4 linked regions of the Arabidopsis thaliana genome follow. The protein of the gene in region 2 interacts with the protein of the main gene of each other region in a pairwise test. Each region holds a gene or a part of one and is shown on either strand. Other genes may lie near its edges. The genes, in order: GATA6, MBD4, AT1G61730 and AT4G00390.

The links.
Region 1: the proteins of MBD4 (region 2) and GATA6 interact in a two-hybrid assay, tested with the Arabidopsis thaliana proteins (one large-scale study listed by BioGRID).
Region 3: the proteins of MBD4 (region 2) and AT1G61730 interact in a two-hybrid assay, tested with the Arabidopsis thaliana proteins (one large-scale study listed by BioGRID).
Region 4: the proteins of MBD4 (region 2) and AT4G00390 interact in a two-hybrid assay, tested with the Arabidopsis thaliana proteins (one large-scale study listed by BioGRID).

What each region holds. Positions count from the first base shown.
Region 1 is NC_003074.8:18,971,201-18,975,474, reverse strand, and holds GATA6 (GATA transcription factor 6), read right to left. Parts: upstream 2,350-4,274; 5' UTR 2,135-2,349; intron 1,843-2,134; 5' UTR 1,837-1,842; coding exon 1,579-1,836; intron 1,488-1,578; coding exon 807-1,487; 3' UTR 583-806; downstream 1-582. Other genes in the region: AT3G51070 (S-adenosyl-L-methionine-dependent methyltransferases superfamily protein), read right to left, coding at 3,184-3,391, 3,474-3,668, 3,751-4,023, 4,114-4,274. UniProt on the Arabidopsis thaliana protein: Transcriptional activator that specifically binds 5'-GATA-3' or 5'-GAT-3' motifs within gene promoters. May be involved in the regulation of some light-responsive genes.
Region 2 is NC_003074.8:23,293,551-23,297,335, forward strand, and holds MBD4 (methyl-CPG-binding domain 4), read left to right. Parts: upstream 1-1,734; 5' UTR 1,735-1,843; coding exon 1,844-1,891; intron 1,892-2,362; coding exon 2,363-2,875; 3' UTR 2,876-3,076; downstream 3,077-3,785. Other genes in the region: AT3G63020 (hypothetical protein (DUF3049)), read left to right, coding at 875-1,489; AT3G63040 (uncharacterized protein), read right to left, coding at 3,096-3,659. UniProt on the Arabidopsis thaliana protein: Transcriptional regulator that binds CpG, CpNpN and CpNpG (N is A, T, or C) islands in promoters regardless the DNA methylation status. Plays probably a role in gene silencing.
Region 3 is NC_003070.9:22,792,670-22,796,750, forward strand, and holds AT1G61730 (DNA-binding storekeeper protein-related transcriptional regulator), read right to left. Parts: upstream 2,046-4,081; 5' UTR 1,909-2,045; coding exon 778-1,908; 3' UTR 501-777; downstream 1-500. Other genes in the region: BAN (NAD(P)-binding Rossmann-fold superfamily protein), read right to left, coding at 1-88.
Region 4 is NC_003075.7:170,672-174,794, forward strand, and holds AT4G00390 (DNA-binding storekeeper protein-related transcriptional regulator), read right to left. Parts: upstream 2,175-4,123; 5' UTR 2,074-2,174; coding exon 979-2,073; 3' UTR 816-978; downstream 1-815. Other genes in the region: GPAT8 (glycerol-3-phosphate acyltransferase 8), read right to left, coding at 3,641-4,044.

The sequences.
Region 1 (4,274 bases), 4.3 Mb from region 2:
CGAATTGTTTAGTTAGTTACATATTATGCAGCATTTACGAAACACGTACTAAAAGCTATTATTAATAGTCAACTCAACTAAAACCATACGAGGAATAAAGTCCCAAGGTAAATTGGTAATTCGTGATAATCTCAAAGATATGGTCAACGAATATTATCACATTGCAAAAATGGATAATATTATCACGTCAACTAAGGTCGTATTCAATCTCCAAAAATACGCAGAGTAATAAATTAGTCAATAAGAGAGTGTGCCCAGTACGTTTATTTTTCTTTTTTCAGTTATTGTATATATTTTTATTTGTGAAATTTGTTTTTTTTTTCAGTTATATTATGTCAATTTTAGAAATACAAGAGAAAATGTGATGGATATAAATAAGTAACAACAAAAAATTGGAGTTACTAACCCTGAAATAAAGCCTACTCCTAATTTGGTATAAATTGATCTCATATTTTATACACTTGATAACTATCAGTCTACCAATAATTATTGAGCATACATTCTAACTAGAAAATGAACCATCTCTATCAATTAATATAAAAACTATATATTATAACGTAAATATAACGTTAGAGGAGGTTAAGAAAAAAAGAATTCTGAAAATTAATGCGAAACAAAACAAATATAATAGTAAGAGTTTTAAAAGTTTTAACCAGTTACTAAATCTAAAAACCTACTACGACTAACAAACAAAAAATCAAATTTGTAATTTAAAACATACATAACCCGTTAACATACTAACTGGTGATAAATCTGAACCGGGTCGGATCCTAATTCTGCTCCTTTAAAAACCTTCCACAATTTCTTCAAAAACTCGAGACAACCTGAACCGTCTGAACCGGCTGGTTCAAACCGGTTTCTTCAGCACCGTCAGAAGTCTCTTTCTTCCTACGCATCTCAATGACTTTACTGTGGTGGTTTGAGTGAAGCTCACTCGAAAATGTTGGGCTACAAGCGGGTCTATATTCGGGTAGTAACCGACCCGATTTGTAACGCACACCACACGCATTACACAACGTCTTCGCTCCTAATGGTCCTGCTCTCCACTGCGGCGTTTTCTGAACTCCACAATGACCACACTGCCGCGTCTGCGTCTGCGTTTGCGTTTGCGTCTGACCAGCGTTTTTCCAAACTTTCTTCTTCTTTTGTGTTTTAGTCATTGGCTCATCAAGAAACTGACCGCTGGCGAGCCATAGAGGGCTTGAAGGACGAGGAGAGGACGACGAAGATGTTGTAGAGCTTGAAGATGAGTCGGTTAACGACTGCGAACCATGAGACCAGACTCTGACTCCGGTTCTGGCTCGTTTGGGTCTGGTTTTGACGGCCGGATGTTGGGATTTGAAGCAGGTCTCCTCTTTAACCGGTTGTACAAGATGTCTCCGATTTCCGGTTAACCAAACCGGTTTATTCGTCGGAGCAGAATACGGCGTGAAAGAAGAATCATCTACGAAATTTGATAACCATTCAAGTTCCGCTATATCATCCATCTAACAATCAAAACATGAAAAGCAAGAAATTAACAATGCAATGACTGATAATTTTTATAAATTTTGCGAAAATGAAAACACAAATTCATACCGGAACGGAAAGCCCGCTAGTGTGGAAATCAGCGGTGGAGAAATCGTTGCTCCGGTGAAGGGTATTTTCGTCAGAGACTCCTCTTTTTCGTTGTACTTTCAATTCAGCCTCATCCTCAACCAAAACGTCGTCGTCTTCTTCTTCTTTTGAGAAGTCAAGCAAGTCGTCGACGGAGAAATCATCGCCATTTTGAGCGCCGCCGGTTAGGGTTTTGTCTTTCATGTTACTGTTCTTCAACGTCAATTCAACACTCTCCATTATTTCCTATCAAACCCCACCAACACAAATTAGGTTTTCTTCTTTTCTTTTGGCTTCCTCAGAATTATCAAAAACTCTCCAAAAATTATCTTTAAAAAAAAAACTCCCCCCGAAAAAAAAAACGTTCCTTTATTTTTCCAAATTCAAACAGAAAAACCCAAAAGAAAAATCACGAAAACCCAGAACCACAACTTGGTGAAACGAACCATGATTTGACTAAGCCACAGATAAAAATTCAATCTTTTTCAAACAATGTGACGAGTAAGTAACCTTCAAAAAAAACTAAAATTGGAATTACCTGAGATGAGAAGAGACAGAGAGTGAAGAGAGGAGATATGTCGGTGAATGAGAAGAAGAAGAAGAGTGGTGAGAATTTAGAAGAAGAGGTGAGTTTGGTAAAGCATTGAATATGATAGTGACTCCAGACCAAAGCCCTCTTCTCCTAAAACTAAAAAAGTTGTGAGTTTCTCTTCTTTATTCTTTCTCAATCTCTTATTTTCCCAAGAACCAAAAAAAAAAGATAAAAATTGAAATATTTTGCTTTGGTGGGAACTATTTTTTTTTACCTTTTTACTCAACCGGCAAAAATTCATAAAAATGTCTACTTTTTGTAAATTCAAAGCGTACATACGCGCTACTGTGAAACGAGAGATGACTGAAAAAAGAACGGTCTCGTTTTCGTTACCCAATCACATACATATTTGGGCTGTATTGGGCTATGTTGGGCTGGGCTTTCTGAAATTTTACGATTTGGGTATCTCATTAACAATGGCTTTTCTCCTCCCGTCTTCTTCAATTCAAAACTGTTTGTGATGATTACTCAGCGATATGCGATTAAAAGCTTCAAATTTGCAGAAACCCATCTTCTTCAGCTCCTACTCTGCCCATGATGTCAGATTCTCTTCTTTCTTAACCTCTCTTTTGAATTCATATGTGGGCTTAAGATTGTTGGTTTCATTTCATGTCTACTTTATTCCTTTTGTAATTTGACTTTTCGCTACCTGTCAATAGCTTATGGTGAATTTGGCTTGTGGTATCGCTAAAGCATCATAATCTCTTCTTCATTACTGCTATGTTTCTACTTGTTGGAACAAAATTTCATTTATTGGTGTGCCTTACTTTTCCCAGTGAAATGATTCATAGCCTTACAAGAGAATATCATAACCATGTTAAAAAAAGCAATATGAAGTAAGGAAAACAAAAATGTTCTAATTAGTCTATATAGTTTAAGAAGACTAAAGCTATTTCTTATACTGACAAATTCTTTTGGGGATTATAGATATGAGTAGTGTGTTGTATTATAATGATGCTTCTGCTACTTTCAAATGCAGATTCTCAGAGCGTCTTTCATTGAGAAGTTTCTGGTCTCCAGAATCCTTTTTGTGCACTTAAGATTCCTTCTTGGTGTTTGGAGAAAGTTAAGTGAACATCCCAGTGCAGTGACTTCAACATGTTCTCAACTTCTCTTATCACATTTGATTCGTCACGAACTATTAGTTTACCTCCTGGTCTTACTATTCTATCCACTTCTGCCATTACTGGAACAAGATTGCACCTTTCAAAACAAAACAAAACAAGAGACTTATTGTTGATGAAACGTTACCAAAAGGTGTGGATATTATGAGTTACGCTTATACCTTGTTCTCAACTTTGAGAAAAGATGATCTGCATGTAAGAGATCATAGCTTCGAGGGTATGTGCTAAATGATTCACACCAGTCATGATATATTCCGAATAGGCCTCTCTCGTAGATTATCGGTAGTGTATCTGGTGAATTTATGTTTACTACATTCATTACCCACACCTGTAGGTCCTTCAGAGCTGCTGCAAACCTGCATTTTTACGTAGTTAGTAAAAAAAGGTTTAGTTTTGGTAAGTGAGATTTTAGTTTGATTTGTTTTCGTTGATGCTCACCCTCCGTAGACAGCTCGCATGTCCATTACATTCCTCACATTTGACCAGCTGATTCCTATTTCATTCATGTATACTTTGCTTACAACATGTTTCCAGTGTTCATAATCTGTAGTGAAATCTCGAGGAGCTGGTTTCCCATATATCCCCATTTGAGAGCTGTTTAACCAGTAAGGCGGTGTTTGAAGCCGACGGGGCCAATTCACGGGCCACTTGCTTCCTCTCTCGACCACATTGGTAGGAACTTTATGCATACATGCTTGTAGGGGTACATACCTGAAATTTCCATTCAAGTTTTGACTTTCTTTGTTCTGTTAAAACCTTATGGTTATTCATTCCCTATGCAAATTGTGGAAACAATCATACCAGGCTGCATTTGCATCGTCGTTGTTTTTGCACAGTGGAGGCTTGTTGTGCTTTCTTTTCTCGTAACATTCATTGGTGGCAGGTTTCTGGTAGATTGCAGCACCAATACCATTGAGTTTATCCTTGTTGATTGTCACAAGTTCCCAGCACAAGGATTTTGT
Region 2 (3,785 bases):
AAACATCATCGCTCTCTTATCACTTTCGCATTCATCATCAACTCGTCATCATATGTATGTTTTCATTCACATGGAGTTAGTCCAGAATAATAGACTGCATGCCGTTTAACGGTCTAAACAAAGACAACTTGTAGTAACGTGTTTTCTTACAAAATGACATAGCAAAATTAGCATGCATGGCTCAGGAGTTATCACATATCGTTAAAACATTTTGGGTTTGCTTTTAGCGATTGCCATTTGTCGAGTGTCTCAAAAGATTCTTGTGGCCCGTATAATGGGCTTTAGAATATCGTTCTATAAGCCCATCAAATTAATGAACTGAGTATTATTTCCGGGAAAGAAATAACGTTTTATGCAATTACGACCCAATTAACTTTATAGTTTTTTAAAACTGATGGGGAATGACCCAATTCAATGTTTTCACCCTCTCAATTGCAGCCATTAGTTAATACTGTAGTAATGTTTAGAAACTAGTTTCAAAATTTTCGTAGAAAAATTCATGTAATATTTTTAAAAATCATTCGATGTGCTGCATGCGTATTTCCCAAAAATTAAAGTTAATATGATTTAAGATTTTGTTCACAATTACTGCCACCAGAAAAAGGACGGTGAGATTAATATTTTACAGGTGAAAAGATTTTTCCAAGACAAGGTTTAATTTGACCATGCGGACCAATTTACTTACAAGGTGTCATGGTTTACAAAAGCCCGTTAAATGAGTAAATCCTGATCTGTTTGCCACGCTGGCAAAACCTCTCGCAGAGGCCCCACCAAATACTATAAATCATTAAATCTCGTTTAAGGCCCAAAAAATGATGCAGAGTTGCGATCGTAGAGAGTAGAGAACAGGGAAGGACGAGCGGTTATGTTAATCATGACGTCATCCTCTACGATTCTCACCGGAGATATAGATGAAGAACACCGCACGTCGTCAATGGCAGAGGAAGACACGCCTACGCATTCCCATCGACGGCGCTGGAGCACTCCTGTTGATTCCGGCGGCGAACCTCTTCAAAGCTTATCCGTGAGCAGATCTCTAGAGATAAAATCAGACCACGAGAATCCCGACGACGAGTGCAGGGAACATAGAGGTGTGTGTGGAGTTATTCTTGACGAATATTTCTCGTGTTCTTCGAAAAATAACAGTTACAGTTTCTATCTAGGAGGGAAGATATCGCCGTGGGGACCGTATGGACCGCCGCTGCTGACGGAGTCGAGATCAAAGGCGCCGTCGCCGCGGAGAGGAAGAAGCGTGACGAGGAAGCGAGATCTGCCACCATTTTTGACGACACTGGATTGTAACGGACGGCCGAGATTTCATCACAGGAGAGTGAGAAGCGAAGGACGGTTAGAGATTGCCAGCGTGGCAGTAGATTCACCGGAGATCGTTAGTGTTCGTGGGAGAGAAGGACTAAGAATCGGAACAGTGAGAATCAGTCAACAAAACGACGTAGTAGAAGATGATAATGAAGATAAACAGAATCACTGATCTTCCTCTTAGAATTTTGATATTTTCAGCTAATTTTCCGGGGGGAAAAAACGACATTGTAGTCCGATGATCCGTTAGAAACAAGATAAGAAAAGGGAATTATGGGCTTTACTTATGAATATTAGGCCCATAATAATATTTTGTTGCAAAACAAACCTGGGCCTGAAGCCCAAATAATTCGCTCAAGCCGACGTGTTAATTTATGATTTGTCCGTCACAGTGATACATTAAAGCACAGGCTGTGCGGTTATCACACTGTTCGCAGGAAGACTTATTTGAGAGAGTTTTACTTTTGGGGGACACAAAGATTTGGAGAAAAAGTTTACTAAAAAAGAATCTGGGGAAGTAAGTGAGATGAAGGAAGAGGAGGAGATCGGAAAACCAGCGAAACCAAAAGCCAAGGTAGTCCCACAATGACTTACATATATTTCGCTTTCCATTTTCTAGGTTCCGTTCTTTGCGTTTTTCTTCTCTTTATTGTGTTAGATGCGAACCTTCTTATAATTCCGGTCAAAGTGCATGCGTTTTTCGTGTTCTTACTGTCTTTGGAGATCTCAGATCCCGTATTAGTAGTTACTATTGATGGAGGAAGTTATACAAGGCATAGAATTCTAGGTTATCAGTTTTGGGGTTCACGATTTTTTGGTGCTTGGAAGTAAATTGTTGGTAGTTAACTTTGAAATCTTTGGTCTTGCAAACTTTGAGTCAGTCTCGTGATGTGTCGTTGCTTTCAGTTATTGCTCTAAGAAAGCCTTGGTTCTTTTCTTTAACGCTTGCTGGAGTAGTGTCGCTCCTTATTCTTGCCTTACATTATATATTTCTTCTACGCTCACAAGTCTTGTGTGGGGTTGTTTCACTGAGACTTAATGGCAGAAAGATGTTGCTCCTGGGAGGTTGATTGATACCTATGCTGCACAGTGCGATAACTGTCACAAGTGGAGGGTGATTGATAGCCAGGAGGAATATGAAGATATCAGAAGTAAAATGCTCGAGGATCCTTTTAACTGTCAGAAGAAACAGGGCATGTCTTGTGAAGAGCCTGCTGATATTGACTACGATTCTTCTCGGACTTGGGTCATTGACAAGCCTGGTCTCCCCAAAACGCCTAAAGGTTTCAAGAGAAGCTTAGTTCTCAGAAAAGATTACTCTAAGATGGATACCTACTACTTTACTCCTACCGGGAAGAAGCTCAGGAGTCGCAATGAAATCGCTGCCTTCGTTGAAGCCAATCCGGAATTCAGGAACGCACCACTTGGAGACTTCAATTTCACTGTCCCCAAGGTCATGGAAGATACTGTTCCCCCTGATCCGAAGCTTGGCTCTCCTTTTCCAAGCACTACTACCACTACTTCAGAGAAGAGCAGTGTCAAGCAGAGCCATAACTAATATGTTCTCTTCTACCTTCTTTCTGCTCCCTAAAGCAATGCGTTTTGAGTCTTTATAGATTTGATGTTCTCTAAAACTGTTATGATATTAACATCTCTAAGCAAAAAAATATGATCTTTTGTCTCTTCTTTAACCGGAACTCAAATGTTAAATATTCTTTTAATTTGGATTCTTACACCAAAGAAACACACTTATTCCTTACAAGTCCCCTCGTAAAACATTAAGTAGAGGCTACAACTCCGGGAATTCTCTCATGGCAAATCCTCATGCACCTTATAGTGAGCGGTTCCTCTTGAAGAATACTGCACGATGTCTCACAGACTTCCTCGTTGGACATGAAGCATCCGGATATGCATTTTTTATAGGCCTCCGGTTCGGTGTAAGACAGGCATTTTCTGTTGCATTTTGTCTGCAAACCCTCATTAGCAACACCTTCTCCTCCTATGACCATCATCTCTGGTTTGGACTTGGTGCGAGGGCAAACGGCCATGCAATGTTGAAAGAGTCCTTCAAAGGGGTTGCAAAATGCCTCACAGAAGGGATTGTGTTCTTCTTCTTGTCGTCCACTTGTCTCTTTCTCTATCTCCATCATCAACAGTTCATTGCACTTATCTTCACACTCTTTCTTCTTGTTGTGGATATCATGTTTACAGTTGTGCTTGCACTGTTCCACCACCAAATCTTCTACTGCACTTGACACTGTTGCACTTTCCAACACCAGAATAGCCCAAATCAGTGAGATGACTACTACCTTTGCTTTTGTTGGTATCATGCCTCTAGTCATGTTTTATAGATGTAATAGGTTATGATGATAATTTTTGTGTTATACTATATAGAGGGGTTGGTTAGTGACATGCAAGATTCTACAGGTGTTACGGGTACGTGTAGGTCAAGATTCTCCTATCATCCA
Region 3 (4,081 bases), on a different chromosome or scaffold from region 2:
AATGCTTGATGAGAATAGAGGCTAAGTTTCCCGTGCCACCAATGACACAAGCCTTCTTCGATCCGGTGTGTGTAAGAGTCTGGTCCATGATTGTACTTTTGAAATTACAGAGATAGAGATTTAGTTGTTATGAGTTTATCGTCTTGAGACTTCTATATAAGAAGTAAAAAGATTTGCAAATAGTCCTTGCTCATTAGGTACAACAGTAGATCAATAAGGCTGTTTTAGAAGGTAAGCACGTGATCTTTGAAATAACCAACTTGTCTTCACCTAAGAATCAAAAAAGATTGACCTTCAGAGTTCTGATTTGTTATCATCTACCAAATTATCACAAGAGTTTGATTATTTCTGTCTCTAAACAATATAACACAGCTTTAGAGTAACGAATAGTGTTACAGTAAGGTTCTGTTACTTCAATTTTTTCTTTGCCGATCTTAAAATGAGTTGCAAAAGAATGCTTTTTACTTCCACCAATCTGTCAAATTCTCTGCAGTTTTTAACACAACTTGGACTTGCTATGTTCTGTTTCACGAATTACACGAGTCAATTCAACATAACTTGCTCTGTTCTTGTCCATGTTTCACAGAATCTGGCCTTAAGCAATTTTATCATATTTAAGCTACAAATCCATAACAGAGTTTAACAAAGATAAAATAACCAGAAAGTTACATTGAAAGATAAAAAGTGAAGAAGACAAAAAAAAGAGAGGGTAAATCCTAAATCGAAAACAAAAGAAGGCATTGGCAATAGCATTCCGATTTTAAAAAACCGATAAATCTATGTATCTAATGGCTTGTTCTTAGAAGCTTCAACGAACATAGAAGCAACCTCATTCAAAAACTTAGTCTTCTCCAACACAAATTCCAACTCCTTAGCTTGCAACAACTTATACTTCTCTTCAACAATCTTCTTACTCTCAACCGAAACCAAACTCCATTGCTGCTTCACATAATACTCATCAACACCCAAACTAGCAATCATCCTAACAAGAGACGAGTTATCAAACCAATCACATCCATCATCACCACCATCTTCTTCAACTTTTTTACCATTAGTTGAAGAACCACCGGCAAACACCAACTCTTGCTTAACAGAATCAATCTTCTTCTTCGCCACACTCTTTTTCGATACACCGTTCGACTTAACATTAGAATCAAGAGCTATTCCTTTAGGTCCCCAAATAAACTTAGACAATTCAAAAGCTTTCTTATCATGAGCTTTCACAAAACTAGGTTCGTTCCTTCCTTCTTTACCAATATACTTCTTCCTTAAACTCCTAATCTTATCCATGAATTGATTCTTACTAACCTCAAAGCTAATCGATTTCTTCAAGAAATCGTAAAACGCATTAGTATCTACATAAGGAGACTTCCCTGTATCAGCTTTGAAATCAATCATTCCTTGTAACACTAAGATTTCGTCTTCTTCACTCCATAGTCTTTGAAAACCTCCTGGTTTCTTCACACTCTCTTCATCTTTCTTCACTCGTTTCGTTGAAGTCGTAGCAGCAGCTTCACTCGCTGGCCGTTTTGTTCCTGATTTCATCGCCGGTAAAGCTAAAGTAGCTGACGACGACGTTGGATCCTCTTTCTTCTTTAGATTCACTGTGTTTAAAGCGATTGTCTTCCCAGATCCAGAATTCGGTGGATTTGTTGATTCAGAATCCGAATCTGTTTCAGTCTCGGATCCAGAATCTGAATCAGCGGCGGTGGAGACGGCGGTGGATTTAGCTGGAGGAGCGGCGGCGGTTGTGGCGGAAGGGGATTTGATTCGAATTTTGATTGGTACGTCTTCTTCAGATGAAGAGGAATCGTCTGAAGCTTCACCAGCTTCGGAAGTCTCGACGTCATCTTCGTCGCTTGAAGTTGCCGTTGGTGGATCTTCCAGTGGATTGAGTTTCTTCGTCATTGGAAATTTTCAAGGAGGCAAATCGGAATCCTTCAAGCAGAAGAGAAGAGAGAAGCTTTTTAGGGTTTGTGAGGAGAGGACGGCAAAAGTGTTTGGGAATATAAAGGTGTTAACTTTAGTTTAAAGTGGTTGCTGTCTTCCAATAGATATTTTAGGGTTTTTAATATAGGGAATTAATTATTTTTTTCTCTTTTTCTGTTGGTCAAAGTAATTTAGTATTTTTATTACTTTTGCTTTGGTAATATTTTATCTCTTTCTTTTGGTCAAAGTAATTTAGGATTTTTATTATTTGCTTTGGTAAATATTTTCTCTATTTTTCTTATGTATAACCAAAAAAAAAAGGCCTAAGCCAAGGCTATGGTTTTTGCTTTTAGCTTTTTCCAAAAATCCATTTTTTAAACCATTCAAGATTTTGAGGAAAGTTGATTCCCTATATAAATTAGGGAATCTAATTCTAAGAGTTTTTACTAATTTCTTAACAAGATCCAAAAATCTCATGTTATTTACAAAAACCAAAATCTGAAATCTAAAATCTCCTAAAATCTTGGCCTAAATTTCTCTTTTCAGTATCAAACTGAAGTATGGGCTTTCAGGCTTGTACATGCTTAACTTCTGTTCTTCTGTTAAATGAGGTGTAAATCCAATTGTGTAGAGCCCATTACTAGGCCCAGAGACCATTTTGACCCAGATACAATCAGCTCACAAAATAGAAAACATAACATCATGTGTCGTTGAAGAAAATATGGTACAAGGCATGATGGGCCTTGTTGATGAAAATATGGTTAGATTATTATTAAATGAGCATGGTGAAACATTATATAAAGGAACGAAAGATGATAAGTCTACCCACATTACTTACCACCATTCTTAATTATACGTTTCTTTTTGCTTTTGATTTTGGTTCCTCTTGTATTTTCGATCTAAGAGTAATACTTTAGAGGAAGTACATACAGAGACAACCTCTTAAACAAATCCATCGGAACCCTAAACATCTCCTTGTGGCAGAGTTATGACTTTTTACTTCCAGTGATGAAATTTGGTTGGGATTATAGCCACGAACTCAATAGAATTCTTAAGATCATGTGAAAACGTTGACAAGATCGTCTACGATTTTCCAAGATTCTAAGTCTTCTATTGATGTTCATGGCTTTAACCTGATTTTTTTTTTCCTACTAAATCGACACTCGATGGCTACCTTAGAGGTTAACTAAGGCACCTAAGACATTCATGGAACGAAGTTGGCTCTAGCGGTGTGTCTTAGAGCCAACTCTGTTCCATGTAGAGATTAGGTTTCTTAGTGATCATGAGTCTCTGGCTTAACCAACTACTCAACAATCAAGCAACATGGTTGTTGGTTTGATGTCAGTTGAAAGCCGGTTCAAGCTCAAGGTGTTAACGTTTTTGCTGTTGATCATTCTTGTAATCTTTTCTCGGATTTTGAGAGAGTTGGGGTCTTATTTTTAATGTAACCATTAAAGATGAGAGTGAATTTTGTAGAGAATCAAGCTTAGACGTATTATTCACTATGTGAGCTCGAACTACTTAAGATCGTCTTTTTCCTCTGTTTTGCTCTGTTTCTGTTTCTGATTCCGTGTATTATTGAGTGCATGTGACAACAAGTAAAGATTTGATCGATTATTTCCTGCGTAAAGTGACAATAGCAATTTCAAGAATAATGTTATAAGTTTAATGATGACATGGCATTATGGACTAATAACCAAATGGATGAAGGAACAACCAAAAGAATATGATGATATGGTTATACACATCTATTTTGAACTATTTAGCAAAGAAACCAAAACTTTATTTCTGTGGTAATTTGAAAGTCATGTAACTACAGAGACAAATCATTCCAAACATATATCCATAGCTAGTCATCAACACTGTTCAATACCATGACAATACCAACCAAGAACATAATAATCGAAGCTCTTCCATGCTCGGTTATAACCTTTTGAACCACCTTTTAGTCCCACGAGGGAAGACACAAAAACAAATAATTGCATATATACTTGTGGTTCCAGTATGTTATATGCCTAGCAACATGTGTTGAATCATAGACATTGTTTTTTTTTTCATATATTGTTGATGAAAACAGAACCATGAAATAACAAGTCTTTTAACTTGAGATATATCAAAAACATATTATTTTCTGATGGAGCCAAGAACTTGA
Region 4 (4,123 bases), on a different chromosome or scaffold from region 2:
ATTTGAACTGAAGAATCCAATGGTCTTCTACTTTTGGTTGCAGGATTGGAGAAGCAGGAAGAAGAAGAAGAATATTAAATGGTTAAGCTTTTTGTCTAATAAAATTATTAGGATGCTCGTATGCTCTCTATGGAGACTAATTTCTTAAACCTTTTGATTTGAAAGAATTCGAATCTGTAATTATTGTAATCTTGGTTTATGCTTTTTGTTTTAAGTTCTTGTTAAAAGCCACCTAAAATGATGATCAAACAAGTTTGTGTTAAGATTATTTTGGCATGTAACATAGTCAATAATCTTTTTATTAAGGTTTCTTCTTGGCTTATTTTGGACGAGTTAGGCAGTATCTTAATAGTAGTAACAAAGCTTTAGTTTTTGTAGTTCATAAGTCAAAAGCTTTGAACAAAACAGTGTTATCTTCTATACCAGACACAAAAACTGTGTTGTTTATATAGTTAAATCATCCTGAAGCAATGTGACTAAATTTTTTGTAACCAAGCTATATTTGCATTGCTATGGTCTTGTTTTGTGACCAACAGACTTGGATGCAAAGTAGGTATAACTTGCTAAATGTCTGATTTTGGAAATAACTTATGAAGAGAAAATCTTCATTTGGTAAGAGTTGTTTTCTCAATGTAACAGTTTACTCATCATTTTCAAACTCCAACTCTCACAGAACACAATCAAGTTACAAAGTGCAGATGCTTATGGTTGGGAAGCTTTACCTAACAATGGTACAAGGCGGTTTTGTCAGGAACATAGATTCGTTCTTGGAGTTGGTACAAGAACTTCTAAAAGACAAAGATGAGGTATAATAAGGACAAGTTGACGAATAAAAAAATAAATATTATAACGTAGAGAATCTTTCAACCCCAAAAAAACAAACCAGAAAGAATCAAATCCTAAATCCGAAAAACAAAAGAAAGCATTATGCATAGCATTACGATACAAAAAACCGACAAATCTAAGTAACTAGTAGCTCTAGTTCTTCGAAGCATCAACGAAGTAAGACGTAAGGTCAGTCAAACGCACACTCTTATCCAACATAGCCTCAAGCTCTTTAGCTTGCATCAACTGAAACTTCTCTTCAACAATCTTCTTAGTCTCAAGAGTAAACGAACTCCATTTCTGCCTCACATAATACTCATCAATACCCGAACCAGCAATCATCCTAGCAAGAGACGACTTCTCAAACCAATCATCTCCATTAGTTGAAGAAACACCAACAAACGCCAAGTCTTGCTTTACAGAATCAAGCTTCTCCTTCGTCTTACTCGCACTCTTTTTCGACACACCGTTGGACTTAGCATTAGAATCAAGAGCTATTCCTTTAGGTCCCCAAATAAACTTTGACAATTCAAAAGCTTTCTTATCATGAGCTTTCACAAACCTAGGTTCGTCCTTTCCTTCTTTAGCACGGTACTTCTTCCTTAAACTCCTAACCTTATCCGAGAATTGACTCTTACTAACCTCAAAGCTGATAGATTTCTTCTGGAACTCGTAAAACGCATTAGTATCTGCGGAAGGAGACTTCCCTGTATCAGCATGATAATCTATCATTCCTTGTAACATAGAGATTTCGTCATCGTCACTCCATAGTCTTTGAAAAAGTGCTGGCTTCTTTACACTCTCTTCATCTTTCTTGACTCGTTTCGTTGAAGTCGTCGCAGCTTCACTCGCTGCCCTCTTTGCTCCAGATTTCACCGCCGGTAAAGCTAAAGTAGCAGTCGACGACGACGGATCATCTTTCTTCTTTGAAGCGATTGTTTTACCGGATCCAGATTTCGGAGGATCCGTCGATTCAGAATCCGAATCTGTTTCACTCTCCGAACCAGAATCGGAATCAGCAGCGGCGGAGACGGCGGTGGATTTAGAAGGAGCAGCGGCGGAGACGGAGGTGGATTTAGCTGGAGTAGCGGCGGAGACGGCGGTGGATTTAGCAGGAGCAGCGGCGGTTGTGGCGGGAAGGGATTTGATTGGTTCGTCTTCTTCAGATGAAGAGGAATCATCTTCGGAAGTCTCGACGTCATCTTCGTCGCTTGAAGGTGCCGTTGGTGGATCGAGTTTCTTCGTCATCGGAAGTTTCAAAAGAGCAAATCGGAATTTTCGAGAGAAAGAGAAGATGAGAAGCTTCTTAGGGTTTGTGAGGAAGATGAGAAGCTTCTTAGGGTTTGTGACGAAACGATGATAAGTGAAAAGGAATATTTATAATCAATTTCGATATTCTCAAACAATAATTGCGAAATTTGCTTTCCTTATTCAAATCGTTTCATATTTCCAATGTAGCAGTTCCCGTTAAAATTCCATTGTTCTATGAGTTAAACAATTAATATTGTCATTAAATTAAGATTCTAAATCTCAAAGAATATTATTTGTTAAGTTTTATAATCTTATTATATAAAAATTTTTGATTTGTCTAATGTTAGAAATTGTAATGAAAGAGTAATTTAGGTTTAGGTCATGACATTAATGACTAATCATAATAAGTACAATTTCACATTTTTGCTTATTATATACAAATCTTTGATTTGCCTAATGTTCCCATGGATCTCATTCTCATACAAATCATAATAAGATCTCATTCTCATGGATCTCATTCTCATTAACAAATATTTGGTGAAGGAGTTTAATATTATGTATAATTAAAGCCCACTAAAAACTAATATAGAAATTGTAATGAAAGAATAATTTAGGTTTAGATCATGACATTAATGACAAATCATAATAAGTATAATTTCACATTTTTGCTTCACATATTTTCGCACTGTAATGATTTTTTTGCTTTCATTTCATTTTTCTGTTAATTGTATATATACAGAAATATCTATATACAGAAATATATTCATTTCTTACTGCCAATGTTTATAAAATCATCCCAAAAAATACAGGAATATGAGTTTCTTTTTAATGAATTGGCACCAATAATATAATACATCAAATCCCAAGTTTTCGTCTGTTACTTAAATGATGATAATGTAGACATTTTTACATTGGAACTCAAAATTCATGATCTCTTGTCCGCCAACACTCTCATGATGATAATGTAGACATTTCTACGTTGGAACTCAAAATTCATGATCTCTCGTCTGCTACACTCTCATATTGATATCACCATTTTTCAATTCGGTAAAACGAATCTAATTTCTCTAAAAATAAAAGAAATTATGACAGTGTAATAAAAAGTTTTTTTGTTTTTTTGTCAAGAGATTTTTTATAAAAGCGTATAGTTAACAATGATCTTATTTAGTTTGTTAAAAATTTAATTATTTTTTTCAAAAAATTGCTACTTTTGCAACAAAAAAAAACCATAATTAATCATTCACAATTCCACCGAAACATAGTTTTATTCAAACATATATACGTCGTATGTATTTACATTTGCATGATCCAAAATTTACTTCCTCCAATAAAATTTTGCACTTTAAATAGAAAGTCTCTATACACATCCGTATAGAAACGGGATCACAAAATAGTTTTTAAGGATATAGTTACCCGTTCGACATTAAGAACAAAATAGAATAAACATAACAATAACGTACCATAATGATGACAAGAGCTCAAGCAATTACACACATGAAAATTCGTATATGATCCAACCTTACTTGCAATAAGTCAATGCCAAGTTATAACAAGAATAAGATATTCACTTCTTGGTGTTGTTGATAGACTCCACCTTGCCGTCATTACCTCCAAGCAAAAGATATTTATCCTTGCGAGTAAGTTCGGTGCATTCGAAGCCCAAAACCGCGCCGATAACTTTCTGGACGTAATTAGCCACCTCTATAGGAGTCTTGCCACCACCGTTGACAGTCATTTCTTCAGGCAAACGATCCAAGAAAGTGGCTTCATAGCTTGGTCTTGGGTTCATGAAGAAGAAGTAAGGGTCCCAAAACTTCACACCCCTAACTGTGGTCCCGTTGAACATTCCTTGTTTACAGTTCATCGCTACTGGCACAATCCGGTCGCTTAGCTCTGCGAATAGAGCGCTAAATCTCAGTAGATACTCTTCTCTACACGTCGTGCCTTCCGGACATATCACCAAGTCGCCTGTTATACACCAAAAACATATCATTAGCTCAACAACTCCATTGATTTTTAATTTCTCAACTAAAGATTAATGTGAATG